Linked DNA regions of Notamacropus eugenii. The protein of the gene in region 1 purifies or fractionates together with the protein of each later gene. This does not show direct contact. Links are inferred from orthologs where the notes say so. Each region holds a gene or a part of one and is shown on either strand. Other genes may lie near its edges.

The links.
Region 2: the proteins of DYRK1B (region 1) and PTGES3 purify together in Homo sapiens (affinity purification with mass spectrometry; 3 studies listed by BioGRID and IntAct, with this or other methods). This does not show direct contact. The link is inferred for Notamacropus eugenii from reciprocal best matches to the Homo sapiens genes DYRK1B and PTGES3.
Region 3: the proteins of DYRK1B (region 1) and FAM117B purify together in Homo sapiens (affinity purification with mass spectrometry; 3 studies listed by BioGRID and IntAct, counting the BioPlex papers as one, with this or other methods). This does not show direct contact. The link is inferred for Notamacropus eugenii from reciprocal best matches to the Homo sapiens genes DYRK1B and FAM117B.
Region 4: the proteins of DYRK1B (region 1) and FAM53C purify together in Homo sapiens (affinity purification with mass spectrometry; 3 studies listed by BioGRID and IntAct, counting the BioPlex papers as one, with this or other methods). This does not show direct contact. The link is inferred for Notamacropus eugenii from reciprocal best matches to the Homo sapiens genes DYRK1B and FAM53C.

What each region holds. Positions count from the first base shown.
Region 1 is NC_092876.1:32,311,128-32,319,074, reverse strand, and holds the start of DYRK1B (dual specificity tyrosine-phosphorylation-regulated kinase 1B), read left to right. Parts: upstream 1-4,941; 5' UTR 4,942-5,012; coding exon of another isoform or gene 5,013-5,046; 5' UTR 5,047-5,355; coding exon 5,356-5,431; intron 5,432-5,847; coding exon 5,848-6,017; intron 6,018-6,717; coding exon 6,718-6,837; intron 6,838-6,927; coding exon 6,928-7,116; intron 7,117-7,380; coding exon 7,381-7,528; intron 7,529-7,644; coding exon 7,645-7,931; intron 7,932-7,947. Other genes in the region: FBL (rRNA 2'-O-methyltransferase fibrillarin), read left to right, coding at 765-917, 1,019-1,135, 1,311-1,405, 1,880-2,050, 2,370-2,502, 3,003-3,115, 3,199-3,344, 3,609-3,645.
Region 2 is NC_092874.1:231,926,753-231,934,170, reverse strand, and holds the start of PTGES3 (prostaglandin E synthase 3), read left to right. Parts: upstream 1-4,415; 5' UTR 4,416-4,856; coding exon 4,857-4,858; intron 4,859-7,418. UniProt on the Homo sapiens protein: Cytosolic prostaglandin synthase that catalyzes the oxidoreduction of prostaglandin endoperoxide H2 (PGH2) to prostaglandin E2 (PGE2).
Region 3 is NC_092877.1:298,976,709-298,984,664, reverse strand, and holds the start of FAM117B (protein FAM117B), read right to left. Parts: upstream 3,015-7,956; 5' UTR 2,882-3,014; coding exon 2,263-2,881; intron 1-2,262.
Region 4 is NC_092872.1:365,475,191-365,482,663, reverse strand, and holds the start of FAM53C (protein FAM53C), read right to left. Parts: upstream 3,001-7,473; 5' UTR 2,498-3,000; intron 1-2,497. Other genes in the region: oocyte-specific histone RNA stem-loop-binding protein 2-like, read right to left, coding at 3,869-4,063, 4,730-4,850, 5,094-5,267, 6,328-6,432, 6,546-6,641, 7,084-7,127.

The DNA.
Region 1 (7,947 bases):
CTGGCGGGCCCAGACTGGGGCCGGGCTGGGGAGGACTGGCGGGCCCAGACTGGGGCCGGGCTGGGGAGGACTGGCGGGCCCAGACTGGGGCCGGGCTGGGGAGGACTGGCGGGCCCAGACTGGGGCCGGGCCAGGGCTTGCGCGCCTCAGTTGACTCGCCGGTAGCCGGAGGCCCGCGGACCGTGGCGCCTTCTCCGCTCTCTCGCTTTCCAGCCCTCCTCGCCCCCGGCGCGGAGGGGCGGCTCTGGTACGGTCCCCGTTTTACCGGCGAGGAAACTGAGGCAGGCAGCCTGGGGTAGCAGCTGGGAAGGGTCTGGGGCCGGATTGGAGCTCGAGCCGCGCACTCCCGCGTCCTGCCCGCAGCTTTCGCGAGGCCCGAGGCCGGGTTTGGTGGGCCTGCCCGATCGGGCCGGGACCCTCCCCCTGGAGCCAGGCTGGGATGGCTGTCACCGCGGGGGTGGGAGGGGCTGGGCCCTTCCTCGGAGCTGCTCCGGGGAGAGGAGGGAAGGGCCTCCAGCCTCAGCACCCCCACCCCTCCCTGGGCCTCCCGGGTTCCTCCGTAGGGGACGGCGGGCTTCTCTGTCTCATCTCCCAGATGCACTGACAGCAGTTTGGGGCGTGATAAAGGGTCTCCCGTGCTGTGGGGCTGTCCCCCTCCCCCCATTCCCATGAACGTGAACGTGGAGCTTCCTCGTCACCTGGGGTCCGGGTGAGCTGGCAAGCGGCCGAAGAAGTTTCTGGCTAACTTATTTTTTTGCCCGCAGGATTCAGCCCCCGAGGGGGGGGCCGGGGGGGGTTCGGAGGTCGTGGCAGAGGTGGTGACCGAGGGGGCCGAGGAGGCTTCGGGGGCCGAGGAGGCTTCGGGGGCCGTGGCCGGGGCGGCTTTGGAGATCGCGGTGGCCGAGGAGGTGGCCGAGGTGAGTTGAGGTCGCCGGCTCACGGGGGTGGAGGGAAGGAGCACTTCCTCCGGGATCTATGTTGGACTGTCCAGCCAGCAAGGAATCTTTGCCTCCCGCAGGAGGGTTCCAGTCCCCTGGGGGTCGGGGCAGAGGCACCCCCCGGGGTCGAGGCCGGGGTGGCAGAGGAGGTTTCCAAGGAGGAAAGAAGGTCACTGTGGAGCCTCATCGACATGAGGGTGAGTGAGGACATGTCCAGTGCCACTTTTCTTAGCAAAGAAAGTGGCAAAACGGCCATTGTGCAGTTTTGTTTTCTTTGTTACCAGTTTTCCTCGTTTCAGAGACAGGGGATGCCTGGTAGAGAAGAAGGGGGTGCCCATGAGTCACATTGGCCCCTCTTTTTTTTTTTTTCAGGAGTTTTTATTTGTCGAGGGAAAGAAGATGCTCTGGTCACAAAGAACATGGTACCCGGGGAGTCAGTCTATGGTGAGAAGAGAATCACTGTGGAGGTGAGGATGGGACCTTGTGGTGGGAGGGGATGTGGGACAGGCTCCCATTTCAGTCAGTCATGAAGTATTTACTGAGTCCTTGCTCACAAAACAGTCTAGTGGGAAAGGTGACATGGCAGTTATCATATAGAAACAAGTCATATACAGTACAGAATAAATTAGAGATGATCCCTGAGGGAGACAGTATAGAGGGGCATTGAGAAAGGCTTCTTGTAGAAAATGGAATTTCAGGTTTGAAGGAAGCCAGGGCAGGTAGGAGATAGAGGAGGTAGGGAGAGCCTTCCAGTTCTGGGGGAGCATGTCACCAGTGAAAATGCCAAAGTTGGGAGACGGAGCATCCCGCAGATCAGCAAGGCCACCATTGTCGCTGAATCCCAAGTTATGTTGGGAAAGGGAGTAAGGTATAGGACATAGGGAAGGTAGTGGAGGGCCAGAGTATGAAGAGTTGACTCTTGATTTCCTCCACCCTTTCAGGATGGTGAGGCGAAGTTGGAATACCGTGCTTGGAACCCCTTCCGATCAAAACTGGCTGCAGCCATCCTAGGTGGAGTGGATCAGATCCATATCCGACCTGGGGCCAAAGTACTCTACTTGGGAGCAGCATCTGGCACTACTGTCTCACATGTCTCTGACATTGTGGGCCCTGTGAGTCTGGGGGAACCCTTCTCCACTTTCACAAATAGAATAAGAATAGGGAGGGCCTGCTGCCACCTCCTAACTGCTTAAATACAAAACCCAAAGAGCTAGCGGTGAGGTACATTGAAGAGATTCTTCACCTGCTACTGAACTCTGAACAAAGGGGTTTGAGGGCAGGAAGTATGGCACAGAATGATACCTGCTGATTTTTGCATGGCTCCTGCTGCTCCCCAGGTCGCAGGTGCTCTGAGTCTTAGGAGGAAGGGCTTGGTGGTGGGTTCTTGATCATGTGACAGGTGAGGACAGTGAGCTCTCCTCTGCCCCTCAGGAAGGTCTGGTCTACGCTGTTGAGTTTTCTCATCGATCTGGCCGAGACCTCATCAACGTGGCCAAGAAGAGGACAAACATCATTCCTGTCATTGAGGATGCGCGACACCCCCACAAATACCGAATGCTCATTGGTGAAGGCCTGGGGCATCCCTACCTCCATAGACAGGGCTGTGGGGCGGAAATGATCTGTGCTGTGGCTAGAGAAGGCAACCAAGTTGGGGCTGGAAGGTCCTGAATTCAAATGCCACCTTAGATAAGCTGTGTAACCCTGGGCAAATCACTTAATCTGCAGGGGACTTGATTTCCTCGGCTGTTTAAAAAAAGATTTTTGTCAAGCTTTTTGCAAACTTTAAGGCGCTATGTAAATGCTATTATTATTTATTAGAAAGGAGTGTGATTTTAATTTCTGGGAGGCAGCTGGCCTCTGAATTTGGCCTTTATCCTGTGGACCATGGGGAACGGAAGAAGGTTTCGGCTAAGTCAGGGATTGGTGTGTTCAGAGCCATCCCATGAGATTGGATTGGCAGTCTGCAGGGGGGAGTAGAGGGCTAAGAGATGAGATGGGACACAGGGATGAGCCTGACGACTCTGTGCCAACTGTGGCTGGTGCCCTTCCTTCCTCTGCCTCCAGGGATGGTGGATGTGATTTTTGCTGATGTGGCCCAGCCAGACCAGTCCCGAATTGTGGCTCTCAATGCACACAACTTCCTGCGCAACGGTGGACACTTTGTGATCTCCATTAAGGTAAAGTTCCCTGGCCAAATTCAGAAGTGAGGGGAGGAGGCCTGGCCATAGGTTTGTGTCCTCATGACCACCACCTCTCCCAGGCCAACTGCATAGACTCCACAGCCTCCCCTGAAGCTGTGTTTGCCTCAGAAGTCAAGAAGATGCAGCAGGAAAACATGAAGCCACAGGAACAGCTCACCTTGGAGCCCTATGAGCGAGATCACGCAGTGGTGGTGGGTGTGTACAGGTAAGCCTTGGGAGGATCCCCATTGTGCTGGGGGTAAGGGGTGCCTGGGCCCAGCAGGGGCCCCATTTGGGGGGGGGGGGTGCTCCTGGGCACAGCAGGGGTCCTGTTGCTCTAGGGATGGCGGGGGGGGGGGGCGTGGTTCCTGGACACAGCAGGGGTCCTATTGCTCTGGGGATGGGGGGGGTGGGGTCCCTGGGCACAGCAGGGTTTCTTGGGGGTTATCGGGGTGCTGCCTGGGCTCTGACGTCTCCTTTCTCCTCACAGGCCTCCCCCCAAGCAGAAGGAAGTAGCTGCCAAGTAGCTGTTGCTTCTCCCGTCCCCGCCCCGCCTTCCTCTTTTTCTACTGTTTTGTGTCAGATCTTTGTATTTTCTATTAAAAGGTGTGACCCCATGTGACTCCTGGATTCTCAAAGGGTTAAAGGGGGGCGGTGGAAGGACGGCCAGGCTGCGCGCCTGCGCACTGAGGCGAGCCGCCGCTGTTCGCCCTGTGGTTACCCGCGGAGGTCGGGCGTCGACCTCTGCGACGCATGCTTCGTCTTGCTGCCTTCTGCGCGCTCGGGGCGGGCCCCAACTTAGATGTCGCGCATGTCTCTTGTATAGCTGGCGCAGGCGCACGGAGTGGCGGCCCGGTGCCTGAGTCACGTGTCGAGGGAGGATGGGAGGGGGCAGGGGGCGGAGTCCGGGCCGGGGGGGCCGGTTTGTTGTGGTCGCCATTTTGCTGGTTGCATTACTGGGTAATTGGGGACCCCGGGCCGCTGCCGATCTGACTGGAGCAGCCCGCCCGCGCCGCCACCGCCAGCCTTCCCGCGCGGGGATGAGCCCGGGGCGCTGAGCCGCCGCCGCCTGCCCCGCGCGTTCCGCTCCGCCCCTCCCCCTACGGCCCGGCACCCCCCGCCCACAGGTAACGGCCGCGCGCGCGCCCGCCGGGGCTGGGGGAGGGGAGGGGGCGCGTGCCCGTCCGCTCTAGCCCATCCGTCCTCCGGCGCGCCGCCCTCCACCCCCGCGCCGAACGTTAGCCCCGGGGAGGGGGTCGGGGGGAGCACGGGACGACCGTTAGGGCCGCCCCTCCCTGGGCGGCGGGGTGGGGCGGAGCGGGTGGGGGGGCGCGCTGTCCCGGGCCCGGCGGGGTGGGGGAGGGGCGCCGGACCAGGTGCCCGGGGGGAGGGGAGCGGAGGGGGCGGGGCCGCTATTTATAGCTGGGTTCCTGGAAGGGGCCGGCCCCGGGGGAGCGCGGCGCGGGCCGGGGCGGGGCCGGGCAGCCGGGCCGGGGGCGGAGCCGCGGCCTCTCCGGCCCCCTCCCCCTGCCCCCCTCCCTCCCCTTTCCTTCGCTCTCCCGCTCTTTGTTTGGGCAAGAGCCGGCGCGGGCCCCCACCCGCCGCATCGCGGTCGCTTGGCAACAGCGGGCCGGCTCCCCGCCATTGGCCGACTCGCCGAGCCCCTCGGGCCAATGGCAGGCCTGTTGCCATGGCAGGGGTCATGTTGCAGCCGCCTCGTGTGCGCCGCGGGGAGCGGGAGCCCGAGCCCGGGAGGCGGGAGGCGGGGCGGGGCGGGGCGGGAGCCGGAGCGGGCGCCCCTCGAGCTCAGCACCTCCTCCCCCTCCCCCGCCGGGGGGGAGCCAGGGGAGGGGGGGCCCGGGCCGGGCCGGCCGGGCCGGGCTGCTGGGGTGCTATGGGCGTCGGAGGAGAGGCTTCTCTGGCCCCCGGTGCGACCCCAGGGTTGATTAGCAGATAGGCCAGGCTGGAAGTGGGGGGGAGGCCTGTCCCAGTCCCAGCCCAGCAGCTGTAGGGTTAACCCCATCCTCCCTTCCCCCTCTCCCCCCTTCCACCTGCTCAGTTGCCCCCCCTCTAGGCAACCTCGGCTGACCCCCCTCCCCCCTCCCAGCGGCTGCTGCTGTCACCCAGCGGACAGGACAGGACAGGGCCGGGCAGGGACTGGGGGGGCCTCCCCTCCCTCAGACGGGTCACCCTTCCACCTCCGTGTCCCCTCGGGGCTCCCACCCTCCCTGCCCGAGATGCTGACTGCCCGACTGCCAGACTGGGGACCCCGCCGGCCACCTGCCCATGGCTCCCGACAGCCCCCCAGCGTGGGTATGAGAGGGGGGGGGGGGTGCCGAGTGGGGGCTCACCAGCCCCCTTTCTCACGTGGGTGTAACTCGGGGCACTCCCTGGTGTCAGATGAGAACTCCCCCATATCCAAATGCCTTCCCTTTGTGCTCCCCCCCTCCCATGGAGAGTGGCTATCAGCTGGGGAGGAGTGGGTATGAGACTGGGAGAGTTCCAGCCTCTCCTCTGTTGTTGGGGGCATGGGGGAAGGGCTGTCACAGGCTCCTGACCGGCTCTGCTCTGGCCCTTCATTGTTACTGGTCTCTTTCACCCCATCCCTAATTAGCTGCCTTTGCCCTTTTCTCTGTCTGTCTGTCCTGGCTCCGTGATACTCTGGCCTGCCCCCTCCCTTCCGTGGTGCCCGTCCCCCACATCCCATCTCCTCTACTCCCTCCCTCCAGGTCCCGGCGGTGCTGGTGGCAGCAGCTGTGGTGCAGGATGCGAGAAGTCGCCCCCCAGCCGGGCTCCTGCTCCGGGCCTTCCTTCCCTTCGGCCCTCTGAGCCGGACATGGCCGCCCCTCCCAGCCATGGTCCTTTCTCCGGCTTTCCAGCCCCCCAGGAGCATACACAGGTAGCACCTAATCTAGCTCCTGGTGAAAGGTGGAACCCTGGATTGAGTTTCTGGCAGGGGGGAGGGGGCAAAAGGACAGGCCTTAGGGAAAAACGTGAAATTGAAGGGTCTGGTGTTGAATCATCCATGAGCTGTAAGATCTAGAAAGTGCAGATGGACAGTTGAAGGATCTGGGTCAGGAAAAGGAGATCCTAGTTTAGGATCTGAGGGTTACAGACTTAGAGCTGACCCGAACTTTTGAGGTCATCTCCTGCTCATTTTACAGATGAGGCAGCTGAGGCCTAAAGAGAGGTTAAGCCTTCTTTCCAGGGTCACACTGGGAGGAAGTAGCTGAGCTGGGATTTGGGCCCAGGTCCTCAGACTCCATCCAAATCCAGCTCCCTTCCATAGTATCATAGTCCCTGCCCCAACTTTGGCCATCAGACACTCCAAGGGTCTGTGGGGAAATTGTTCAAGGTTAAAGGTTAAAAGACAAAGTGTGGCAGGGAGGTAGAACTGGACTGATAGTTGGCTGGTCAGCTGTGCAATCCTGAGAAAGTTATTGAGAGAGCTTCAGTTTTCCTTTTTGTAAAATGGGGGTAACAGTTGTCGTACCTAGAGCACAAGGTTCTGTAGGACAATGGAACTGTGAGCGTGGGAGGGTTGGAAAGGGAGGTCAGGGGTTGAAGCCTGGCCCCTTACATGTCCTTCCCCCTCCTAGGTGGTGCCAGATGTCAGGCTGCTACAGCGACGGCTCCCGCTGGCCTTTCGGGATGCCACCTCCGCCCCACTACGAAAGCTCTCTGTGGACCTTATCAAGACCTACAAGCACATTAATGAGGTGGGCTGGACCCTGGGCAGGAGCTGGGACTGAGCTGGGCAGTGACTCCCAATATCTCTTCTTACCATCCTCTACATTCTCTGTTCCCAGGTGTACTACGCCAAGAAGAAGCGTCGGGCCCAGCAGGGACCCCCAGAGGATGCGAGCACAAAGAAAGAGAGGAAGGTTCTGAATCACGGCTATGATGACGACAACCATGACTACATTGTGCGAAGCGGGGAACGGTGGCTGGAGCGATACGAGATCGATTCACTCATCGGGAAGGGCTCCTTCGGGCAGGTGGGAATCAGAATGAGTGAGACACCTCAGGGAGAGGTAGGCTTCCATCCTCTGAAAGCCAGAGAAGGTGACTTTCCTCTCCTGCACCCCACATCCCGAGACCTATGTGCAAGCCTGAGTTTTCTCGGCTGCCTCTCAAGTCGTACTATTGATGCCTGAGCTAGAACATTGCCTGACTATGTCTCTTCCCCTTGGGATCCATCCTGGGGCCGAGAGACCTGCTAATTCCCATCCATCCCCATTGATCCCCACTGTCGCTCCCAGGTGGTGAAGGCCTATGACCACCAGGCCCAGGAGCTGGTGGCCATCAAGATCATTAAGAACAAGAAGGCATTTCTGAACCAGGCACAGATTGAGCTGCGGCTGCTCGAGCTGATGAACCAGCACGACACGGAGATGAAGTACTACATCGGTGAGGCCTGGGAGCAAGGCAGGCGGCGGGTGGCCAGCCATGGGAGGTGGGCACAGAGTGGAGCTGGAGGCTGAGGTCCAAGCTGCCACCGCATGTCCCTGCGCCTTCTCCTCCAGTGCATTTAAAACGACACTTCATGTTCCGGAACCACCTGTGTCTGGTCTTCGAGCTCCTCTCCTACAATCTGTACGACCTTCTGCGCAACACACACTTCCGGGGAGTCTCACTGAACCTGACCCGGAAGCTGGCGCAGCAGCTCTGCACAGCCCTGCTCTTCTTGGCCACGCCTGAGCTCAGCATCATCCACTGCGACCTCAAGCCCGAGAACATCCTGCTGTGCAACCCCAAGCGCAGCGCCATCAAGATCGTCGACTTCGGCAGCTCCTGTCAGCTGGGCCAGCGGGTACATGGCGGCCATG
Region 2 (7,418 bases), on another chromosome or scaffold:
TTGTTCTGAATCCATTCATACAAGTTATTTTTATAAGGCTTTATTTTCTGAATCCATTCCTTTCATCATTTCTTACAACACAATAATATCCCATTACATTCATATACCATAATTTATTGAGCCATTTCCTAATTGGTATATCCCTTGTTTGGTTAGGAATTTCTTCCATTAGTCATAAGTTATGGAAAGGCCCTTTACATGTAAGTTTCAATGTTTTACATGATCTTTATCTGTAAAATGATGGGGTGGGAGTAGATGATCTCCAGAGCTAATCCTAACTCAAAATCCTCTTGGGCTAATTCCTTTCCAGGCCATTACTTGAATCCCACTAACTTGAATCAATTGAACAATTTACTGTTCCATAAATATATCCTGCCCTCCATGCATCTGCTCATGCTATTTTGACCACTAGGAATTCCTTCCTATCATGTATATTTGTTGAAACTGTACCATAGATATTTGAGAATATGTCCCATACATTCAACTAGACCAGGGGTGACGAACCTGTAGCCCCACGGCCACATGTGGTCCTCTAGGTCCTTGAGTACAGCCCTTTGACTGAGTCCAAGTTTCACAGATTCCCCACCCCTGAACTAGACTATTAGCTCCATGAGAGGAGAGACTCTGTCTTAGATAAATTTTATATCTCATCCAGTAGCTGGCACAATGCTTTATACTAAGTAGTCACTAAATATTTATATCCTGTACATATATCCCATTAAACTGTGTAATAGGTATTGGATCACTGGGATACAGAAATAACAGGGCCCATGATCAAAAGATTTTCTAGTCTTACATCCTCATCTTACAGGTGACAAGAAGTCGGCTTAGAGGGGGTAAAATGACTTGTCCAATATCACACAACTATTAAATAGCAAAACCTCTTGTACTAGTCATCTCTCCTTCTACACTGTAAACTTCTTTTAGGCAGGGAAATTGTTTATTATCTTTGTATCTCACCCAAACTAGATTTTACAGATTAAGAGCCGTACAGGTGACATTTGATTTGAGCTCAACAAGCAGGAAATGCAACAAGGAATAATTTTTAACATTAAAAAGAAAGTCAATATACCTATTTTAAATGTCAGGAAATTTTGCTCTTCAAGACAAATAGTTATTCAATTTGTGATAAGAAAAATGCTACAATAAAGGTTCAATGCATCCAGTGGGTTAATAATCCATGGGGGAAGTGGAGGAAATGACACAATTTTTTCTCCCATGAATTTAATCATCAACAAACAATTTAATATACAAACAACAAAGAGGATTGTTAAATTGTGAATTTATTTATATAGTTGCTGGTCCTGGACAAGTCATTTAACCCCTCAGTGTTGTAAGCAACACTGTTAAGACTATTAAGTTGCTGAGGTAGGTGTCTCCCTGCATTGGCAGGAGTTTCCTCATCTGGGAGTTCCCTCTTTCAATGAAATAACTGATCTAATTTCTGTCCCTATTTTATATAATAAGTATAAGGCCATCAACAAAATTGCTTTGTTTGTATTTCCTGTACCTCCTTCTGTACTATGTTTTTGTCTGTGTGTAAAATATGTGTGGGTAAGCTGTATAATATAATGATATGCTGGCCCATTTGACATAGAGGGTTCTCTGATATGGAATCTGGTCCACTCTATCACTGAGGGAGGCTGAAATTTCTTCCTTTTAAAGAGTAGGAGAAAGGCTTTGCCTTTACCACCAGTCTAGCAAAAAAGGGGTTGTAGGATATTTATGGCAGGATGATCTCTTTGCCAATCTCATATTTCCAGATATAGGTCTAGAATTAGATGCATCAAATATGAGTAGTCTAGGCATTTGAGTTGAAGGTGTTTGGCATACAAGATATTTTCCCTGATTGATCTCAAGGGAAAGGGACACCTTGACTAACACCAATTTAGATTCCTCCTCAAATACTAATTATATAAATTATATAAAAGGCCATCAAGACTAGCAAGTACTTCATCAAAATCATCCAGTAAATAGAAACCTGAGAAGTTATACAAATTAGGATCGGTCTTGAGAGCAAGATAAAAACTTCAGCCCAAGAATCTACTCTTAGCAATCTCTAGGATTGCAAGCATTGGAAGTCAGGGATATGATGGGGGTCAGCTTCCCCTAGTTTGTAGCTCTGAATAAATCACCAGTCCACCATTTAAAAGTCAGCCATCCCTGAGTCTTTGCCTCTCTGGAGGGCAGCTAGGTGGTACAGTGGATAGAGCACCAGTGCAGTAGTCAGGAGGAGCTGAGTTCAAATGTCACCTCAGACACTTGACACTCACTAGCTGTGTGACCTTGGGCAAGTCACTTAACCCCAATTTGTCTCATCCTGGGTCATCTCCAGTCATCCTGATGAATATCTGGTCACTGGATTCAGATGGCTCTGGAGGAGAAGTGAGGTTGGTGACCTGCACAGCCCTCCCTCCCTCAAAACAAAATCAAGTGCAAGTCATCATTTCTCTGATGCCATGGTCTTCTTTGACAAGGAAGGACGAATACACACCTCTCTCCTGAAATGCTCCAACAAGCTGAAGCTAATATGTTACATTCAGTGTCTCCAGCTCAGAGGTCTCTCAGACAATTAGGGGTTACACCTTATTACACATAGGCTGTGCAACACCAAGAGGGCTGCCCTCAGGAAAATCACCCCAGGCTTGGGTGAAAATGGGGTTAAATACACATTTCAAAAAAAAAAAACAAAACACTAAAAAGAAGTTACCTGTGCTAGATAGTGGATAGAGTGCCAAGTCTGGAGTCAGGAAGATTCATTTTCCCGAGTTCAAATCTGGCCTCAGATACTTACTAACTGTGAGACCTCGGGCAAGTCATTTAACCCTGTTTACTTCAGTTTCCTCATCTGTGCAACAAGCTGGAGAAGAACATGGCAAACCACTCCAGTATCTCTGGCCAAGAAACCCCCAAAAGGGGTCACGAAGAGTTGGCTGTGACAATAAAAATGCTTTTTTTTACGAATCCACACTGGCCATATCTGAGATGTTATAATTCCTTCTGCATCTCCTGTTCCTTACCTCTCTGCCCAGGTACGACTGGAAGGTATGTTTCATCATCAGTTTTTTGAAGGCATCACTGGTCACTGCTTTTATTAGAATTTTGTCTTTCAAATGACTGTCATCTTAAACTGTTCTCCTGGCTTTCCTCATTTCCCTCTGCATCCATCAATACGTCTTCAGGGGCTCCCTGAATTGATCATATTCCTAATTTCTCAAGGAGAAGTCATATTCAAGGACATGAACGCACGTAACATGGTCACACATTTATTTACCTGCTTTGTTCCCAGTTATTTGCTAGGTATTCTTGAGCACCTGGGTTCTTTCTTTTTTGGGTTTGATTTCCACAGGGTCTAAGAATCTAACGGTATTTCTGGGTCACAGGCATACACAGCTTGGTAATTTAAGGGAAAAAGTTATCCATTTTTTCCAGAAACACTGAGAAAATTCAAAACTCTGCTAGAGGCGAAGGAATGTACCTATTCTCCCATGGCCTTTCCAACAACTGCTATTTTCCTCTTTCCTCTTCTTTGCCATCTGACGGGCGTGAGATGACGTCCCTTCAATGATTTTAATTAGTGATTTGGAACTTTTTTCCCAAATGATCACCAGCGTCATCCCTGGAGAACCGCCTCTTCACGGGAATGCCATTTCAGCCACCATCCTCCAAGCCCTGAGCTGGCTTTGGGCAGATTCTGAACAAGTATTCCCCCAGGAGTGAAAGCAATGGCCGGACATTATCAAAGTCAGCGGCCATGTGGTCTCCGAGGAATCCCGGGGTCCATTTGCTCTCAATTCAATTCGGGAGCCATCTACAAAGGGGCGGGATGGTGCCTGCCCTTAAGGGGCTTACATTCTACCGCACTCCACAGTATTCCGCGGGGTCTCGCCCCTCCCCCCAGACAAGGCCTTTCACCTCCCCTCCCCCCTCCCCCCTCCCCCCAGACAAGGCCTTTCACCTCCCCCTCCCCCTCTCCCCCCAGCCAGGGGCCTGTCCTCCCTTCAGAGCGAGGATAGCGTCGGCCCAGGCCGGGGGAAGGGGTACGACTCAAACATGTCTCCTGCGGCCGAGTTTTTTCTCAGCCTCGGGCTGGGCCGTGGTGGGGGAGGGGAACCTGGGGCGGGGGTGGGCAGAAATGCCACCATCTCCGCCCGCAGGCTGAGGGCCGGCCGCCTCTCGGCTAGCCTTGGCCAGACGACTAGTTTCTCGGGAGGTTTCCCCGGGAGACCACGCGAAAGCGCGAGCCCAGGCGGTTGGGTCACCAACGGTTTTCCAACGAGAGGCTGCAGGGGGGGGCGGGAGGAGAGGCGGGAAGGGACAGCGACTGAGGGGGGGCAGAGCGGGCGGGGTCAAAGAGAGTGACGGGGAGACTCCGCCCTTCTCATAGAGATCTCTAGAAAGCCGGGCTCGCGCCCGAAAGCACAGGAACGCGCACGCGCGAAGGGGCCCGGGCATTTTGCTGCGTCACTAGCCGCCGCCGCCGCCGCCGCCGCCACTGCCTCCTCCTCTGTCGCTGCCTCCGCCGCCGCCGCCACCTTGCCTCGCTTGGCCTTACCGCCCCTCGTACGCACACGTTCATTCTCTCTCCTCGCGCCCTCTTCTTACTCTTTCCTCCTCCTCCTCTCCCCGAACCTCTCTGGTCTGCCGCGCGGTGCATTGTGGGATCCAGGCCAAGCCCGCCGCCGTCGCCTCCGCCGCCGCTGCCGGAGGGGAAAGAGCGAGGCAGAAGAGAGGCCGCGACCGGAGGAGGAGGAGGCACCCGAGCCGGAGCCGCCCGCCCGCGGGGAGTCGGAGCCGTCCTTGCCGCCTGAGAGACCCAACCCACCCGTTCGCCCGCCCCCCCTACCCTGTACACAATGTGAGTGTGATAGCCCGCTGAGGGGAGGCCAGCCTGAAAAGAGGACGGGAGGCGGAGGCCGCGGCTCGTGGACGGAGCGGGAAACCGACCCTCCCCACAGCCCTGCGGGGCCCAAGCGGCGTGGGGGGGGTGCTACCCCCGCGGGGGGGAAGGAATCTCCCGTGACATCCCCCTTCAGGGTCCTCGCGGGAAGCCGTGGGGCCCCATTCCCAAAATGATCCGTTCCCTTCCCCCATCCTGCGGGCCCTCGCTCCGGGAAGTTCCCCCGGGCTCACCCCCGAGGCCTCCATCTCCAGTGACCCCGTTCCTGCCTGAACGTGCCTCGGAGGGGAGGCCTTTCCTCCGCCGGCTCCCCCGGGATGCCCCGTCGTGGCAGCAGGCCATGTGCATTGGGGGCAGGAGGCCCCCGGAGAGGGGGGTGACCACGAGTTGGGGGCCCCATGTGGCCTGCGGACCGGAGCAGGTAGTGCTGGCCACGTGCAGGCCTCCCCACGGCGGGCCCGTGGCATCTTGACCTAGTCCGGTTACCTGTGTCACCCTGACATGGTGTTGCCCCCCAGGGGGGCTTGGGTACTTACTTTTGGCCCCCCCATGCTTCAGCGTGACTGAGATCCCGAAGGGAGAGTAGGGGCAGTCTGCACCAGACAGTTTCCTGACAGGGAGGAGAGTTAACTGCCTAACAGGTATTTTACACGTGTTTGACCCAAAGGACTATTGTGGAGTTTTACAGAGATAATATACTACCTTAAAATTGTAGGCAAGGTAGGTGTTCCTTCCTTAAATCTCCGTGAGATGTGTAGATCTTAAGTCTTCAGGGGGTAATTTCTCAAAGGTGTGTAGGGGATGGGTCACAGATGCCCATGCTGGAAGTAGAAGTTTGAGTAGAACAAAGGGAAAAGGCTTCACCTCTGGAATCTTCTACATGCAAAGTCTAGCATTTTTCTCTGCTTCTCCACTTTGTGGATTGTTCACTTTGTGATATAATTAAGTTTAATACTAACTTAGACTAAAATTTAGTAATTGAGTAGTAGTTGTGGATTTCAGATTTAAATTTCTTTAAAAATTAAACTAATTCCTCAAAGGCATCCAACACTTATTAAAATGACATGCATTTTAATTTTAATAATTTTAATGACATGCAGGGTGTAGCAGAAAAATGGTCCGGGAGACTAACATAAATAAGACATAGCATCCAGTTGATTGAAAACATTGTGAAGGGAGCTTGAATTATCACAAAAGGGGTGCTTTCAGAGTGTGGAATTGTTTATGGCTAGAAAATTTAACTGCATGTATGAAACTTTTCCCGCTTTTGTAACCTCACATTTTAAAGTACCCGTCTTAATTCAATTGTATCTTTAATTCGTAGAATAATAGGAATTTTGATTATGCAACAGTTACAGTTAAAAACACAGGTTTTTAGGAAATAACAATAAATTCTTGTCATTGCTGTTCAAAATCTCTAGTTCATCTAGCATAGAGTTGTATCCATTTTGAGAGCCAAGGGTTTAACGTGAGTTGAGGAAATTTGCAGATAAAGTTTTAGTAACCAGATAGTCTAGAAACAAATACTCAGTTAATTACCGTTTGACTTAGCTGCATGTTCAAAAAGTTTTTGAAACTAGTTTTTAGTCACCTATGCAGTGGAGGAGAGAAGAAAGAACCTGTAAATAGATGAAACTTGGATAAAAATCAAGATAGTAATCAATATTCCAGGAGGCATACCTTGAAATGAGTGTATTTTACAAAACTAATGGCTTCAAGTTTTCTAGTTTTTGAAGAAAAAAATTTATGTTTTTGATTTTGTGACTTCTTCAGGGATGTGAATTTATAAAATGAATATTATGATTCAGTTGAATTGGAAGAGACATTTTATGGATCATCTACTCTTAGGAGGAATAACATTGATAAGGCTTCATTTGCCTTATAATGAAAAACAAAAAGAAGGAAAAGGGCAATGGGGGGGGGAGGTCCTACTCAAAATAAGTGGTAGTGGTTGCCCAGCCATTTGGCTTTAAATATTTTAATCAAAATAAGTCTTATTTGTCTATTTCTGTAAGGTGCTCAGAGGTCACAATACAGTATCATTTAGGGAAAGCAGTTAATAGCATCATCTTTCACCCATGGAAATGAGGACCCAGAGAAATTTTGTGCTTGCCCCAGATCATTATGTTCTTGATGGGGACTAACCAGATTCCCACCCTAGCAGGAAAGGTAGGTTGGTGTGGTAGAAAGAACCCTGAATTCAGGAGACCTTGTTTCAAGTCCCAATTCTACCACTTCCTTTTTTTTTTTTTAATCTGAATTGGAGCCAGCCTAGATCTCTATTAGCTTTCTTCCAGCTCTTTGCAGTTTGAACAGTCCAGGGGTAAGAACACTTAATTTGGAATCAGAAGATAGGTATCCTTATCTGTATTCATGCATCTCAGTCATACCCATGTGATCTTAGGCAAATTGGTTAATGTCTCTGGATCTCAGTTTTTCCTCTTGAAAAATGAAAGGGCTGTACTAGATGGCCGTTAAGGTACTCTCCAGCTCTAAATCTATAATTCTATTGCTTTTT
Region 3 (7,956 bases), on another chromosome or scaffold:
TCATTTTTCTCCCCTAAACTCCCCTTCCCTGCTACCTTCCCTATTACTGTGGAGGGCAACACCATCCTCCTAATTCCTCAGACTGGCAACTTGGGAGTCATCCTGGATTCCTCACTATTTCTCATACCCTCCTCACCAAATACAAACCTCTGCCAAGCTTGTTGATTTCACTTTGCAACATCTCTCAAATAAACCCCCTTCTTCCCTCTGACACAGGCCCTCATCACCTCCCGTCTGGATGACAGCAATAGCTGCTGCCACAAATCTCTCCCTACTCCAATCCATCCTCCAATCAGTCACCAAAGTGATTTTCCTAAGGCTCAGGGCCTGATCATATCATCTCCTTGCCCCTGCTTCGCCCAAACTCAATAAATTCCAGTGGCTCCCCATTGCCTCCAGGAGCAAATACAAAATGTTCTGTTTGGCAACTCAAATCTTCCTTATTCTAGCTCCCTTCTATCTTACCAGTGTTCTTATATTTTCCTCCCCAGTGCATACTCTTCAATCTAGTGACACCAGACTCCTGGTTGTTCCACTAACAAGACATCTCTTGGCTCTGGCTGTCCTCCATGCCTGCAATGCTCTCCCTCATCTCTGCCTACTGGGTTTTCTGTATTCCTTAAGTTCCAACTAAAATCCTGCCTTCTACAGAAAGCCTTCCCCAACTCCTCTTAATTCCAACGCCTTCCTTGTGTCAATTATTTCCTATTTATCCCATGTTTAGCTGGCTTTGCATATATTTGTTTTTACCTTGTCTTCTCCATTAGAATGTGAGCTCCTTATGCCTCTTTTTGTATTTCTAGCACTAAACATAGTGCCTGACACATAGTGGACTTTTAATATAGGTTTACTGATTGATTAAACTATCTATTTTCAGTGGGATGCCCCAGAAGTAAGAGAACAAAAACATACAGGCAGTGCTACCAACAACTAAAAATCACCCTTCCCAGTTTTCACTAAACTCTAACATGACAGAGTCCACTCTAGCCCTTTCCAGGTACTACCATTTCAATCTCTTCACAAGTTTCTCTTCTTGCTACATTTCTATCAACTACAGAGATTACAACACCTACAACCTGTCTATTGTTATTTTCCAAGGACAGCTTTAAGTCCTGAGGAATAGTAATGCACTAACTGGAGGAAACATATTTCAGAACACCAAAATTTTTTAAAAAGAGTAATCTTATTAACAATTTCGCAGACACAGAGCTTGTGTATTACAAAAACCGTCAGATCATTACAAACACATCTAGATGGTGCTATACCTGACTGTAAATGCAAATGCTTCCATCCTAAACAATTTTGGGGTATTTACGCTTGGTTTAAGAAACAGTTTCTTAAAACTCCAAACGTCTAAATGTTTTATTTAATACAGAAGCATATATTTTCCTCTACTAATATATATATTATCCTAAGAGGAAAAGAACTACCATTAAAAAGTCCTGCATCTTGTTTTCTGTGGACATCAATAACTAATAAAACCAGCAGTTAGTTCTACTATTTCTTTCAAGCTTTCTGGAGTCTCATTAGTTCTTAACATTTTCTTATTGCATGAAGCCCCTTTGGCAATCCGGACCTTTTTGTCAAAATAACGTCTTCAGATGCAAAAAATACGTATTATAAAGGAAGCTAATTCTTTTGAAATAGCCATGAAACATTTAAAAAAAAAAAGTTCACAAACCCAGATTACGAATCTCTGCTCTACAAGGAGTAAAGTTTGATACTGGTTTTTTGGGGGGAGGAGAACAAACAGCAAAAGCAGCAACAGGCACTTAAGCACCTCGTTAAACAAAGCCCACGGTGGGCAAATCACGCTTTCCTACTCCATATTCGAACTGTTTCATTTAACAAGATGGGGGGCAGTTTCTTGAGGGTTTTCCCCCAGAAAAAGAAAGGATGTACGACAGAAAACGTGGATAAACCACTGAACTCGCAGAAATGACAAAGTCCGGGTTTATTGATGAACACAAACCCAGGCAAGCTGGTGGCACAGGCATGCCCTCCTTGGAAACCCGCACATGGTGGACTCCAGTTCAATGAGCCCATTGTGCCCCCAAAAAAAGAAACTTGGGGGGGAAGGCGGCTAGGATTGGTCGGGGGCGGGGTCACCGGCCGTGGCCCCGCCCACCGAGCAGCACGAGCAGGACCCAGGCCGCCCTAACCCCGCCCCCAACCGCCACGGCCCCGCGAGCCAGCGGGTGCCCGGGTCAGGCCCCACGCTCCACGCCCCCGCCCGCCCGCAGCGCCTCCCCCGGCACGTACCCGCCTTGCAGACCGGGGAGCTGGGGCTCCTCCTCTCGGGGGAGCTGCGGCTCTGCTCCGGGGAGCGCCTCGGGTGTCGGACCCGGGCCGTAGCCGGGGACGCGGCCGCGTCGCTCGCCAGAAGATGGATGGGGGACGAGCAGGGGGACGAGACGGTACCCAGGAGCGGCTGGGAGGGCTGGGGCTGCGAACGGGGAGGGCTGCCCCGCGCGCTCGCGCCCCGCGTGGGGCTGGTGCCCCGCGTGGCCGTCGGGGGCGCGCCCGTCTGCGTGGCCACCGTGGGGCTGGCGCGAGCGCTGGGCCCGCCGGCGCCGGCGCGCGTGGGGCTCGTGCTGCGCGAGGAGGTGCGCGGGACGTTGACGCCGCCGCCGCCGCCTCCGCCCCCTGGGGGTCCCGAACTGCCGCCGCCGCCTCCGCTGTTGTTGCCCCCGCCGCCGCTCCGCGTGGGGCTGCCATGTTGCTGCTGCTGCTGCTGCTGCTTCAGCTGGAACGGCACCGTGGCCCTCATGGGCTGCAGGCGGCTCCCGGGGGCGCCGCCGGGGCCGGACGCGGCGCCCGCGCCTCCGCCGAGGGGGGCGGCCGGCGTGGGGGACCCGTTGCGCCTCACCCGCTGGGACATGACGCCCCCTTCCCGGGCCGCGCTGCGAGTGCGGGGGGCGGGAGGCTGCTCCGCGAGGCCCCGAGGCCGCGGCTGGAGGCCGGGCAGTCCCTCGCCGGTGCAGCCGCCGCTGCTCCCGCTGCTGCTGCTCCCGCGGCGGCGGCGGCTCCTCGCTCCTCATCAACAATAGTGTCTCCGGAGCTGCCCCCGCCCCCCGCGGCCGCCCATTGGCGCCGCGTCAGCCGCGCTGGGGCCCCTCGGCCGCGCCGATTGGTCGCGGGGTAGCTTGGGCCGAGGGTCCCGCGGCCTTAAAGAGACCGGGTCATCTTCTCGCAGCCTGTTGGTTCTCCGAGGCGGGGAGGGGGGGCCGGACCCGCCCCTTTTCCTCTTCCCTCCTCCCGTCGTCGCCCCGCCCCCTCAGCTTCGTAGTGCGGGAATGTGTGTATGTGTGTGAGTGTGTACGCACGCGCCCTGAGTCGCTTCCCCTGTCCAGCGTGGGGGCACCCAGGCTGGGGGTCCGATGGAGACCGGACGGGTGGGGAGAGGGCATCGGGAAGGGGCTGGAAAGAGAAGACAGATGCAGTCCGATTTGGGGCGGGGGGCCGGGCATCCGGGAGGAGGAGGAGATGGGGAGTGGGGGTGCCCACCCGCTGCCCCAGCTGCACTCACCCTTCCCGGGTGGGAGCGAGACCCACGATTGAGGCCCAGCCGTCCTCGTCCTTACACTGTGGGACGACTCCGCTCGGGGTGCGATCCCGCACCTTCAGGGGTTCCCCACCCCACCCCCTCATTCACGGTGCCGTTTTAGGAGCCGCACAAAGGGCTGAGTCGGATAAGGGGGACTCCAGGTGCCTCGGGGGGAAGAGCTTGGCCAAGGGAAGCCCTTGGAGCCCCAGCAGACCTCTCGTCTTCTCCGGGCCTCAGTTTCCCCATGTGTACAATGAGGGTGCTAGACTCGGGGCCCGCTATGGAGGGGTTTTTGCGTGTGTTTTCAGCTCTGGGTCTATGATCTTAGGAATGCCAACGTCATGAAGAAAGATCTGCCACCTCTGATGAGGGGTTGTCCCTAACGTGACATTTCCAGCTGAATGTCAGCACACCTGCCCAAAAGCCACCCCTCTCTCTAACTTCCCTAGTTCTATGGCTGGTACCGCCCTCCTTCCAGTCACCTAGGTGTTCAGTCTCAAAGCCTTCTTTCTAGCCATCTGTCAATCTCATTCTGCCTTTGCAGCATCTCTAGAATTCATCTTCTCCCCACTGCCATGGCAACCACCCTCCTTTAGGCAGTTATCATCTCACCTAGCCCATTGTAATAGCTTCTTGGTTGGTCTCTGACCTCCACCCAGCTGCCAAAGCCATGTGCCTTTAGAAGAGGCCTGATAGGGTTATTGCTTTGCTCAAGAACTCTGCTCTGGTATTTAAAGCACTTAACAACCAGTACCCAACCTACCTTTCCAGGATCAGCCAAACTGATCTTCTGCTTCTTCCTTCTCCAATCTGTTTACACATCCTGTCCTCCACTCCTGGGATGCACTCCATCTTCATTTTTATTTCTTTAGTTTCCTCATTCCCTTCAAAGCCCACTTCAAATACCCTCATGTTGCCCCTGTTCCTTTACTCATTCTGTTCTCTATGCCTCATGTCCTTCAACCCTTGGTGGAAATCCTAGTGGAGAGGATGCTAGATGTAGTCAGAAGACCTGGGATTACATTCCAGCTTGGTCACTTAGTCTCTGTGTGACTAGAGAAGTCACACCTGAAACTCTTATTAAACTTCTTAGCTCCCTTTATCTCCGTGCCAAATTACCTCACTTTGATGTATAATTTATATTACATATATACATATGGACTCTCTGATAAAATGAAATCTCTGTGAGTGAAGGGACTTTGATTTTTGTCATCTTATCTGTTGTACCTGGAACATAACAAATACTTAATATTTACTGATTGATTATGACCCCCTAGATGCTTCTGATCCTACAAGCCCACTTAGTAGAAGGTGATGTAAAATGGTGGTTAATATTTCTGAAGGCCTGGCAGGTAAAACAATACCCCAGAACTCTTCCTTCAAATTACACCTCACCTCTTCCCTTGGATTTCACAGACTCATGAAGTTACTGGTGTACCTGAAACGTCATCTAGTCCAATCTTCTAATTGTGTATGTCCAATACTAACCATCAAGTATTTATTAAAGGCTTGTTATGCAGGAGGTGAAAGCATGGTATAGCACAGAGGTGTCCAAGGTCCCAAGCAGCTCACAGAATTCATCAGTGCAGCCCCAACCAGATTAAAATATAACTGGAAAAAGTTTAACCAAATACATAAAAATATAATACAAAGTAAATAATGTTAATTTGTGACTTTCTAAGTCAGTATGCAGGGACAGAGGTCCGTTTCTATTTGATATCAGTGGATAAAGTATGGGCCTCAGAGTCAAGAATCCTAGGTTTAAATCCACCCTTTGACATATAACTGTCTTCTTGACCACAAATCCTCAGGCAGCTCTTATAGAAACTATAAGCTAAAGACCAATTGTAATAAGTATTGGTGGACAGAATTCCTACACAAGGTCCTTGTACTAATAAAACCATAGGTCCAAGCAAAAACAAAATATGAACAAGGCATTGAACAAGATTCTGGGATAGAAAAATTAAAAAAAACCCAATACCCAGCCCCAGTCCTCAAGAATCTTACATTCCTTCTGTAGAGACACAATGTGTAAACAGGTAATGATAAGTTTATATATAATGAATTGAAGATTGATATATTGTGACCCAAGAGGTAAAAATGCTTCCCCATCTTGTTAGTTCATTTTCTTCCTTCAGATATGATGATGGCATCATATCTCTTTGCAAGATTCCAGAATTAAAAGTTTTGTGGCCGTCAGTAAACTGAGCAGGCTTGGAAGATGCTTTGAAACCATTCAAAATGAGTGCACCTAATCTACCCTGGCAAATTATTCAAGTATTTTTGTGGTTAGTATGCACAGATACAATCTAAAGCCTCTTTTTCACCTAAGCTCTGTAAGGGCAGGGATTACACCTTCTCTGACAGTATCTTCCTGATTGGCTAGCATGGTGCTTTACATATCATTAACCCTTAATGGATTTAATATTTGGTGAACACAGTGCCTACTATGTGAAAAGAATGGTAATAACTGGGAGAGGGGCCAAGAGAAAAATATAAAAATAATTAGTAGATTGTCCTTATTCTCAGGGAGTTTCAATCTTGCAGGAGAAATATACATATAAATAAAAATATTCTACATACCTGGATAGAGTCTAGACCTGTGATCTCATTTAAGAATAAGAAACTACTAGATGAGGACACTTCCTCTACCAGTGCAGATTAGCTTATGTGATTATAGAGTTACTTAGGACAGTAAGAGGTCCAGTGATTGATCCAGAGTAGTAAAAACAGTACGTTGTCTGAGGCAGGATGCAAAGCCAGGGCTTTCAGGCTCCCAAGTCAGCTTTAACCATTACAACAGGCAGCTGCTTCTCTATAATAGCTATGTAATAACATTTTGCAATAATAACTATGCAGGATGTAAAGTGTAGTGTTATACAAGGTCAAATGAAGTTGAGAAGGCTTTATAAAGAAAGTAGAAATTGCAATGCACCTTGAAAGATCTCTGGATCACAAATTTAAACCTTGGAGGTAATGTAGGGAAACTGAGGCTGGGAGGGGTAAATGATTTCCCCAAGGCAAGTGGCAGGGTTCAGACCCCTACTCTGATTCAGATTTATTGGAACTTTCCACTACCCCCACAGTGCTTCCCTAAACATAATACTGTAGGTACCATTTACATAGTGCCTCAAACTTTATAGAGCACTGACATTCTTCAGATCAGCATAACAACACAATGAAGTATGCATTTTTATCTCCAATTTATAGATAATAGCCTCAAGTTAGGTGACTTGTCTAGTCACCCTAGTAAGTCACTGAGCTAGAATTTAACCCCAGGTCTTCCAGTGCCTTTTCTACTAAGATTCTGCATGGAGATGGAGGGTTCTAGGCATTGAGAATCACATGAGCCAAGAATTGGTGAGTGACATGAGTTAAGTCTGGAAAAGTAAGGAGGTGCCAGGTTGTGAAGGACTTGGACAAATGGACTAAGGAATTTTAACTTTACTTGATGGGCAGTGAAGAGCTGTATTGAAGCATTTCAGGCAAAGAAATAACAAAGATGAGATCTGATGAAGGACAGTTTAGAGGAAAGAGAGTCTAAAGGCAGGAAAAAAGGAATCTGTTAGAGAAATATGGACTGTTAATAAATGCTGAGGGTCAGCAGTGCAAGGTCCTAAAACAATTCCAAAGGACTCATGATGGAAAATACCACGCACATCCAGAGAAAGAACTATGGAGTCTGAAGGCAGAGCAAAGCAGACTATTTTCTTTTTTCTGTTGTTTTGTTTTTTCTTTCTTACGGTTCTTCCCACTTGTTCTAATTCTTCTATACAACATGACTACTGTGAAAATATGTTTAATAGGAACATATATGTAGAGCCTATATCAGATTGCATGCCCTCTTGCGGAGGGGGAGGGAAGAGAGGGGGAGAAAAGTTTAAACTTATGGAAGTGATGGGAGTGAATGTTGAAAGCTAAAAATAAATTAACTTAAAAAAATGTTGATGGTAATGGTAATAAGACTAGAAAAGAGTAGATGCATGAGAGAGGTGAAGACAGATCAAATACTCCTTACACAATTAACACTTTAAAAAGATTTGTTGTGATGACTTCAGTTGCTCCATGATCTTGTCAAAGTGGGTCCTGACCTAACAGTCCAAATCACAATGTACCTTCTCATCCTGATCTATACTCATTATCAGTATCCTCTCATTCATCTTTCTGAGGGGCTCCAGCTGAGGTGCTGGAGACCTTAATTTGGGCCAAGGGTTCTTCACCTTTTTGGGTGATGTCCTTTGGTAGTCAGGCAGATAGACCCCTTCTCAGAATTATGTTTTTAAATGAATAAAATAAAATATATAGTGTTGCTAAGTAAACCAATTATGTTGAAATAAAGATGTGTTTTTCCCCCATCCATTCAAATCCCCTGAAATCTGCAGATGGCTCAAGAGGAGAAGTGAGGCTGG
Region 4 (7,473 bases), on another chromosome or scaffold:
TATGTCCAAAGTTCAATTTTGCTCAGTCAGATAGTAAGTTTGAATGTTTTCTTTCAAGGACAATGAAACCAGTGGCCAAGAAACTTCACCTGTAGTTCTTGACGAGAGAAGTGTTCTTTTCTAATGTGCCTAAACCACAGAGAAGTAGGATAAAATGTGTGGTTCTTGCGGAACAGAATTTTGCCCTGCATTAAATCTGAATTACTAAGTTATTGTTTTCTTTGATAGAATGATCATGTTTGAGAAATGCCTCCTAAAAATTTTGAATGAAAACCTAAAAAACTGGTGAGCAAAACAATTCCAATCCTACAGCTCTATATGACCTCATTCTACCAAATTTCAGGGTTGCTCTGGCTCCAAGGCTATCCTATATATACTGATAGTGAAGCAACTTCCTGATACGAGTCTGAAGGAACATGTATTTAACAGCAGGCTCCAAACCCACATCAGCTGTGGGACTTCTAGTGGACTGAAAAGATGTTAACTTACTCTGTCAATGGCTTCTGTTTATCCAATTTTAGGAATGACCTAGAGGGCAATATAATCCTTTGGAGTACATAACTTACTTTAATGGAAGAAGTTAAGGGCTACCGAGGTTTTAATACCAATTCCAACCTTACTGGCTATATGCTGTACAAATCTTGGGCAAATAACATCAGTTTCTCTGGGTCTCAGTTTCTTCATAATTAAAATGAGGGAGAAATAATAGTATACCGGTAATTAAGAGATAAAAGCAATTTGAGCTCTGTGAAACAACACACTCCATAAATCCAAGGAATCATTTCAGAGGAGTCCAGCAGGGTATCATCTCTCACTCTTCCTGTTCAATGCACCACAAAGCCTAGGGATGCTGGGAGTGATGACATCATTAGGATGCAGAAGGCAATCTGTTCTACCTTTCTGGCTGGACACCATTCACTCATTCATTCACTTGTGCCTGTGTACTCACATAAGTCTAAAAGGGCACTGTTTGTATATGACAAGTTCTGCTTTGTATGCGACTTTTTCCCTTCTGTAAAATGGGGAGAATATTCCTTAATCCATACCCATCTCATGGAAAGATAAGTTTCCTGAGACACTGGGAAAGTTCTCTATGCTCTTCAAAAAGAATAAAAAATAAAAAGCATTACAGAAATCCTATACACTGAGATTTCTCCTCAGCTGCTTCCCCTATATAGGCCCTTGTTACAGAAGATAAAACTCAAGCTACGTTATACTAAATGCTCTTGGTTTCTTAAAGCTGCCTTTTTGGAGATCCATCAATGGAAAAGGGTACCTAGTTGCATTCAGATACTAGGGACAGCCTTTGGAGGGTGAGGTAAACTCATTTTCAGGCTCTCAAGATTTGGGCCATAGGAAACTCCTAGTTTTTTTTCTCTCTAGAATCAAGAGGATGAAGAGGATAATTTCATATTTTCTGCATTTTAATTGCTGGGATGTGGTCATACACAAGTCATTGCAACAAGCCAACTACTACCTATCACATTAACTGACATTTTGGGCTCTACGTTTCTTAAAACAGAGTGGGGGGGGGGGGGAGGGAACCTGAAACAATTGAACCAAGATATAAAAAAGGCAACCTAGCTTGGAGAGGGCCAAACCTAAAGCATTAGAAGGCTTAGTCTTGGCTCCTTCATTACCTTATCTTCTAACTGCAGAATAAAGAAAGTCCTGAACCCACACTAAACAAGTTAAAACTTCTCAGCCTAATAACCGCCAAGGATCGAAGCCCTTTTGGGAGGAGGCATCTGGCTTGGCCTCTTAGGTACCCAGAAGACCCAACCCTCTTCCCCAATGGGGCACTGACATTTCCCCACTCCCCAAAGATCTAAGTGATCACTGATACTTGGGTCTCAGAAACAGAGTCAGAGCTGAAGAGCAGAAGTCTCCCTTGGGGGTAGATCTACTTAGTTCAATGGGACAGGCTGGCGGGAGATTTTCTGGGGACTCCAGGCCTTCTCCCTCCATCACAACGCCCCCACCCCCACCCCCAGCTTGGGGTTAGAGTATGAATAAAAACAACGGCGGGGGAGGGGTTCCTTTCTCCAAGGCCCTGGTGGTGCCTGGGGTGGGTGGGTGTGATGGATGCTGCCCACCCCTTCTCCACCCACAATTAAGACTACACACTACCCCCTCCATCCCTGGGTTGCCGCTACCTTAACCACGGGAGGGGCAAGAGGTGACCTATGACCCTGTGGGGGTGGGGGCGGATGACGTCAGAGGAGCCGCTACCCGCCCCCTAACGCCAGCCTTCTGGCCCAGGACCCGGGCCCGTAAAGGAGTTTGGGGGGGGGGGGGGGGGAAGATGTCTGGGGACACGGTGCTCTAGCGGCCCCCTCCCCCACCAGTCCTGGGCTCCCCGCAACGGGGCGGCCTGCAAAGCCAGGCCGTGAGGAGGGACTAGCTGGGAAAGGAAGGAGGAAGGGAGGGGCAGCTGAGGTCTCCGCCCCAGGGCCCAGCGCCACCTGCCCCCAGGGCCCGCCCGCCCGCTACGTACCGCAGCTCGGTCCCCTTCCCAGGGCCGCAGCCGGAGCAGCTCTGAGCTCGCCACTTGCCCCACGGCGCCCTTAAATAACGCCGGAGCGAACCAATCGTCCCCCTGCCAGAGAGGGGGGGGTAGCTTCCCCACTCCCAGGACTTGCCCCGAAGCCCCGTGCGAGGGCCAGAATTCCTGGGGTTTCCTCTCCCTCCCCCAAAAACTGCTGGTAATCAGTAGCGTCCGTGATGGAAAAGGTGCAACACTTGCTCCTCTCGATGTACCTCGCCTCAAAGGGGTCTTGCTCCCCACTAGGTTCCCCTACCGAATTGCGGAAGGTGGAAGGGACCGGCTCTAGGCTGAACTAACTTCGGGCCAGTGGGGAGAATAGACAGAGGTAAACAAACTCAGGCCCTCTCTCTACAGTTCCTGCTCCAGTCTGACTAAGACGCCTTCTCTGACCTTGACCTCTAGCAGAACAAGCCTCGCACCCCGGTGTTCGTTTTTCTATTTCTCCCTATACTGCCACTGCTTTGAAAAAAACCCCTCTTCCCTGCCACTGAGGACTCGTCTGCGACCCAGGGGCAGATGGGAGGTGTAGTCCAATGCTGGCCAGACTTGGGGCCTGCTTGAATAGGGTTCCAGAACAACGGGCAGCAGGAAAGGCTGAGGGGCAGGGGGGGCGAATTCCCGATCTGGATCCCAGGACCTTAGCCCCATCCCCAGCCCTTTCTTCTTTCTCCCGAAGTCGCGCCTGCACGTCCATTACTACACTCAGTGGGCCTGGGCCCCTTCTCTTCTTCCATCAACGCCCCCCATCCCCCGCCCTTCCAGTCACAGCAGGATGAGGTAATTGGATTGTGATTATGACATCATAATAAGCTCAGCTCTTTTCCTCCTCCCTCCCCCACCCCCAATGTATTCTAGAGGAAGCGCCCTCAGGACTCCTCTATCAAACCCCGCTTTTCATTCTTTGTGTAGAAGTGGTCAGACCCTCGCAAAGACCTTCTTTGTCCATAAAGCAGGAGTGGTCAGTGAGAGGAAAGGGCTATTCTTTCACCAAAGCCACAGGATTTCAGTCTGAAGTAACTGCACAAGTTACGAGTAAAACTCATCCCCCCCAAGAAAGACCTAGATGAAAGAGGCTAAAATAGAGGAAAACAGGGACAGAGACTTGAGAATGAATGCCAAGGGAAATAAATGAATCCACAGTCATGCCATCAGAGAGGCAAAGGGGTAGAGAAGTGATTTTAACCCAAATTTGAGCCAGTGGAGAAGGGCTTTCTTATTGCAGGCTGGCAAGTTTGTAAAACAGGGAAGGAACAGGAAAGAAGAAAAAAAAGAGTAAGGCAGGACACTAAGCTAAATAGGGGGCATTTTCTTCATCAAGGGTCAATGAGGGTCTTGCCCCAGAAAGCTGGGCAGCCTCCCTGCCCAATTTCCTAAAGGCCTTGTCTTCTCAGCACACTCCACATGCCCCAACACTGAAAGTGGTAGGTGGCTTCCATCTCCCAAGCAGTATAGCCAGTGACAGGGAGCTTCCAGCTGGAGACAGGGAAGTGAGGTGATAAGAGCCAAGATGTCAAACTGAAAAGAGAGAGGGGAAAGGGCCCATTTTCAAGAGGTAGGTAGACAATAGCTATCTATCCTCCCTGTTTTTCTCAGAGGTAGCTTAGCTTGGAGGGAATAGTACTCATTAGGATCTTCATTATGCCCCTTTTCCCCACTCCTAGAGAATAACCGCAAACATTTTACAACAGAAAGTAAAACCCTGGTAAGGATCAGACTGTGAAGTATTAAACAGACAATTCTTCCTAAAGTTTAAGGTAGTACGCTTGTAGATAATGTAACTTTATGGGGCAGAGGCTAAAATTAGGGCTCTGAGATACTTGCTTTCTCCCACCACACTTGTTTAATTTCCATATTTAAGCTTTCTGATCAATATATCATTGACTTGTTTGCATAAAAAGAAAACTCTACTCGTTCCAATTCCCAGTTAACTATCCCAACCCCAGTTTATCTAGTATGTATACACCTGTTTTGAACTCAGCCTTAATTCAGCCATTATGAAGTAATATTTTATTTATTATAAATTATTATATAAAATTATCATATATTATTAATTATTATATGTAATATGTAATACACAACATGTATTATAAATTATTATAAATAAAATGATTTATTTGTTCATTATGAAATATACCCACACCCTGAAAGACAACTCTTTTGATACTGTTCCTATGAACCTACCTGGGTTCTCATTTGGTCTTGATTTAGATTCCACAGGGGAGTCAGAACACTGAGCCAGCCTTTCAAGAAGTCATCTGAAGATCCTGAATCCATGCTCCCTGAAATATTCTCCACTCCCTGCCTAGCAAAGGTATATTTATTTAGGAGAAGAAACAAAGGCAGAATGAACCAGGACCAATGCAGACCCATTTTTTATATAGGTAGCTGTTCTCAGAACTGGGAGCAAGAAAAAGGTTTAGATTAGTCTAGGGTTCAGGTATCATTACAATGACTCCATTAAGAAACTTTGGCCCTTGTCCTTTCTCTTATACCCTAGCTTTTGTCAAAGGAAGAGAAGGTTTAGAACTCAAATCCCACAACTCACTGTAGCCAGGTACAAGAACACATATCATTCTCTTTGAACAGCAAAGGCTGACTGGGAGGATCCCAAGCATGTAGGGCTCGTCGCCATTGCCTGATCTGGGCATCCCAGGAACGTCGGCTGTACCTTCGGCTTTTGTCAGGTGTTTGAGGGTGAAGTCCTGACTGCCGTGTTGCCCTAGAGATAAAATGAACATCTTAAATTATGGTCAAAGACACCTATAAATAGATGGAAGAGGCTTAGTGCTCCTGTGTTATTGGCATGACTGAGAATCAGCCTAGTTGAAGAAAGAATTCTTCAGCATTGTTGGACATAGTTCATTAATTGTTTGCAGGTATCAGAGACTAACTTTAGAACAATGTTCATAGGCTCACAGATTTAAAGCTGAAAGGTACACCTCAGAGACTGCTTAGACCAAATCCCTCATTTTATAGCTGATAAAACTGAGACTGAGCTTTGGAACTTTGCAGTAGCTATATCCCATCCCTAGAATGCACTCCTACCTCACCACTACCTCACAGAATCCTTAATTTCCTTCAAAGCAAAGGTCAAAGTCCACCTTTTACATGAAGTTTTTATGCCCTTCAGCTCCCCCCGCTAAAAAAAAAAATTACCTTGTATACTTTTGTGTACAGGTTGTCTTCAGAACATAAGGGCCTTGACGGAAGGTACTATTTCATTTCTACCTAACATATAGTAGACACTTAATAAATACTTGCATATTAAATGACTTGTACACAAGACCACATGAGTTACAGTAAATAAGGCTAGAATTTGAGCTCAGGTCCTCTGACTCAAAATTCCCCACTCTTTCTATTATACCATGCTACTTGCAAAGTTGAACCCCTCTAAAATGCCTTCCCTTACTGACGAATAACAGTGTACTGACTCATGTTCAAAGTCTAAGAGAAGAGACAGAATAAGTCCAGGAAAGTTTAGCCTAATATTTTTAAATAGAAGATTCTATTTATAAAGATGCAGAAAGGCAAGTGATGAGAAGGTTTAGGAAGACAAGGTAGCCATTAACAAGATCAGAACAAGTATTATAGACCATGTAGAATGCTTAAAGATGTTTAGAAAATAGCAAGATTAATTGATAGGCTTCCTAATTTTTCTTAAGGCATTCTAATATGAATATCAAGGTGACTTGGTATTAATTGATAACAATTGATGGTAAAAGATATTTTCAGTTCTTCAAAGGATAAATGTTGTCCATCCCCAAACCCTCTGCTCTTACTTAGGGACTTGCTGTGAGAAGCACTGGTAACCAGCTGTTCGTTTCCCATAGTCTATCTGCTTTTGTCTCCTTCGAAGAACAATCTCATCTGTTTCTACATCCTGCCTGTGGAGAAATAAATGTCCTATCAATAAATAGCTATGAAAAACATAAAATGTTCTTAAACATCTCTTTACACTGCGGCCATCTCACTCCATCTGCCAGACTCCATAACTCACCTGCACCTTCTGCAGCTGTTCTCTGTGCTGACTCCCACACTCACCATCTTCACTCCAGAGGAAGAATTCCCAAGCCCAAGCATGTTCTTATCGGTTCTATAAGTAAAGAAGGTATCAGAATGACTAGGTGATTGCTGTGCTTTTTCCAAAGAAACACATCCTTCATCTGGATCCTGGACAGCCAGATTGAATTAGTGTCCACATCTCTAAAACACCCTCCACAATCCTCAGAGCTTCAATAAATAGCAAACGAACTTACATTGGACTTTTATTAAGCACCTACTGTTTGCAGGTCCTGGGGGAGATCGAGCTCAGATAAGACACACTCTCTTCCTTTCAGGATGTTTTTTTTAACTACAGTCTGGTAGGACAGAGGTAGTCAGTCATTCACGATACCATACGTGCTTAGAGCACGGAAAGGTGCAAAAAGGAGAGGTCAGGCTACAATAGTTGAAACTGGACAGCAGCAGGAAAAGCCCTTCGTTCCCCTACTCCTTTCCAAGGAAGGAATGGAGAACCTGCACACCCCAATACACACCTCTCTCTCCTCAATTCCAGAGTTTCTAAAGGCAGATTCTCCATTTCATCGCATCACCTCTCAGAGCACTAAGGTGAGGAGTCGGTGCATTAGCTAAGGCGAAAAGGAAGGTAGGGGGAATAAAACAGCCCAGAAACCCTCACCTGCACTCACCAGGTTTTTCAAATTCACCATTCAAAAGAAATAAGCTGGTGAGGGCGGGGCGAGAGGGAGCGAAGGGAGGGGGTGAGGGGGGTGGAGATTTAAATCTCCCGGGTGGAAGGCGTGGGAAGGGCGAGGTCCGGGCGGACGGGATGAATGGCCAAAGCATGAGCCAATCATGTATCCGATTTTCCCCGGAAGGCGGAGTTTAGCTCGGGTTTCGCCGTAACCTCGTAGCCAATCCGCCGC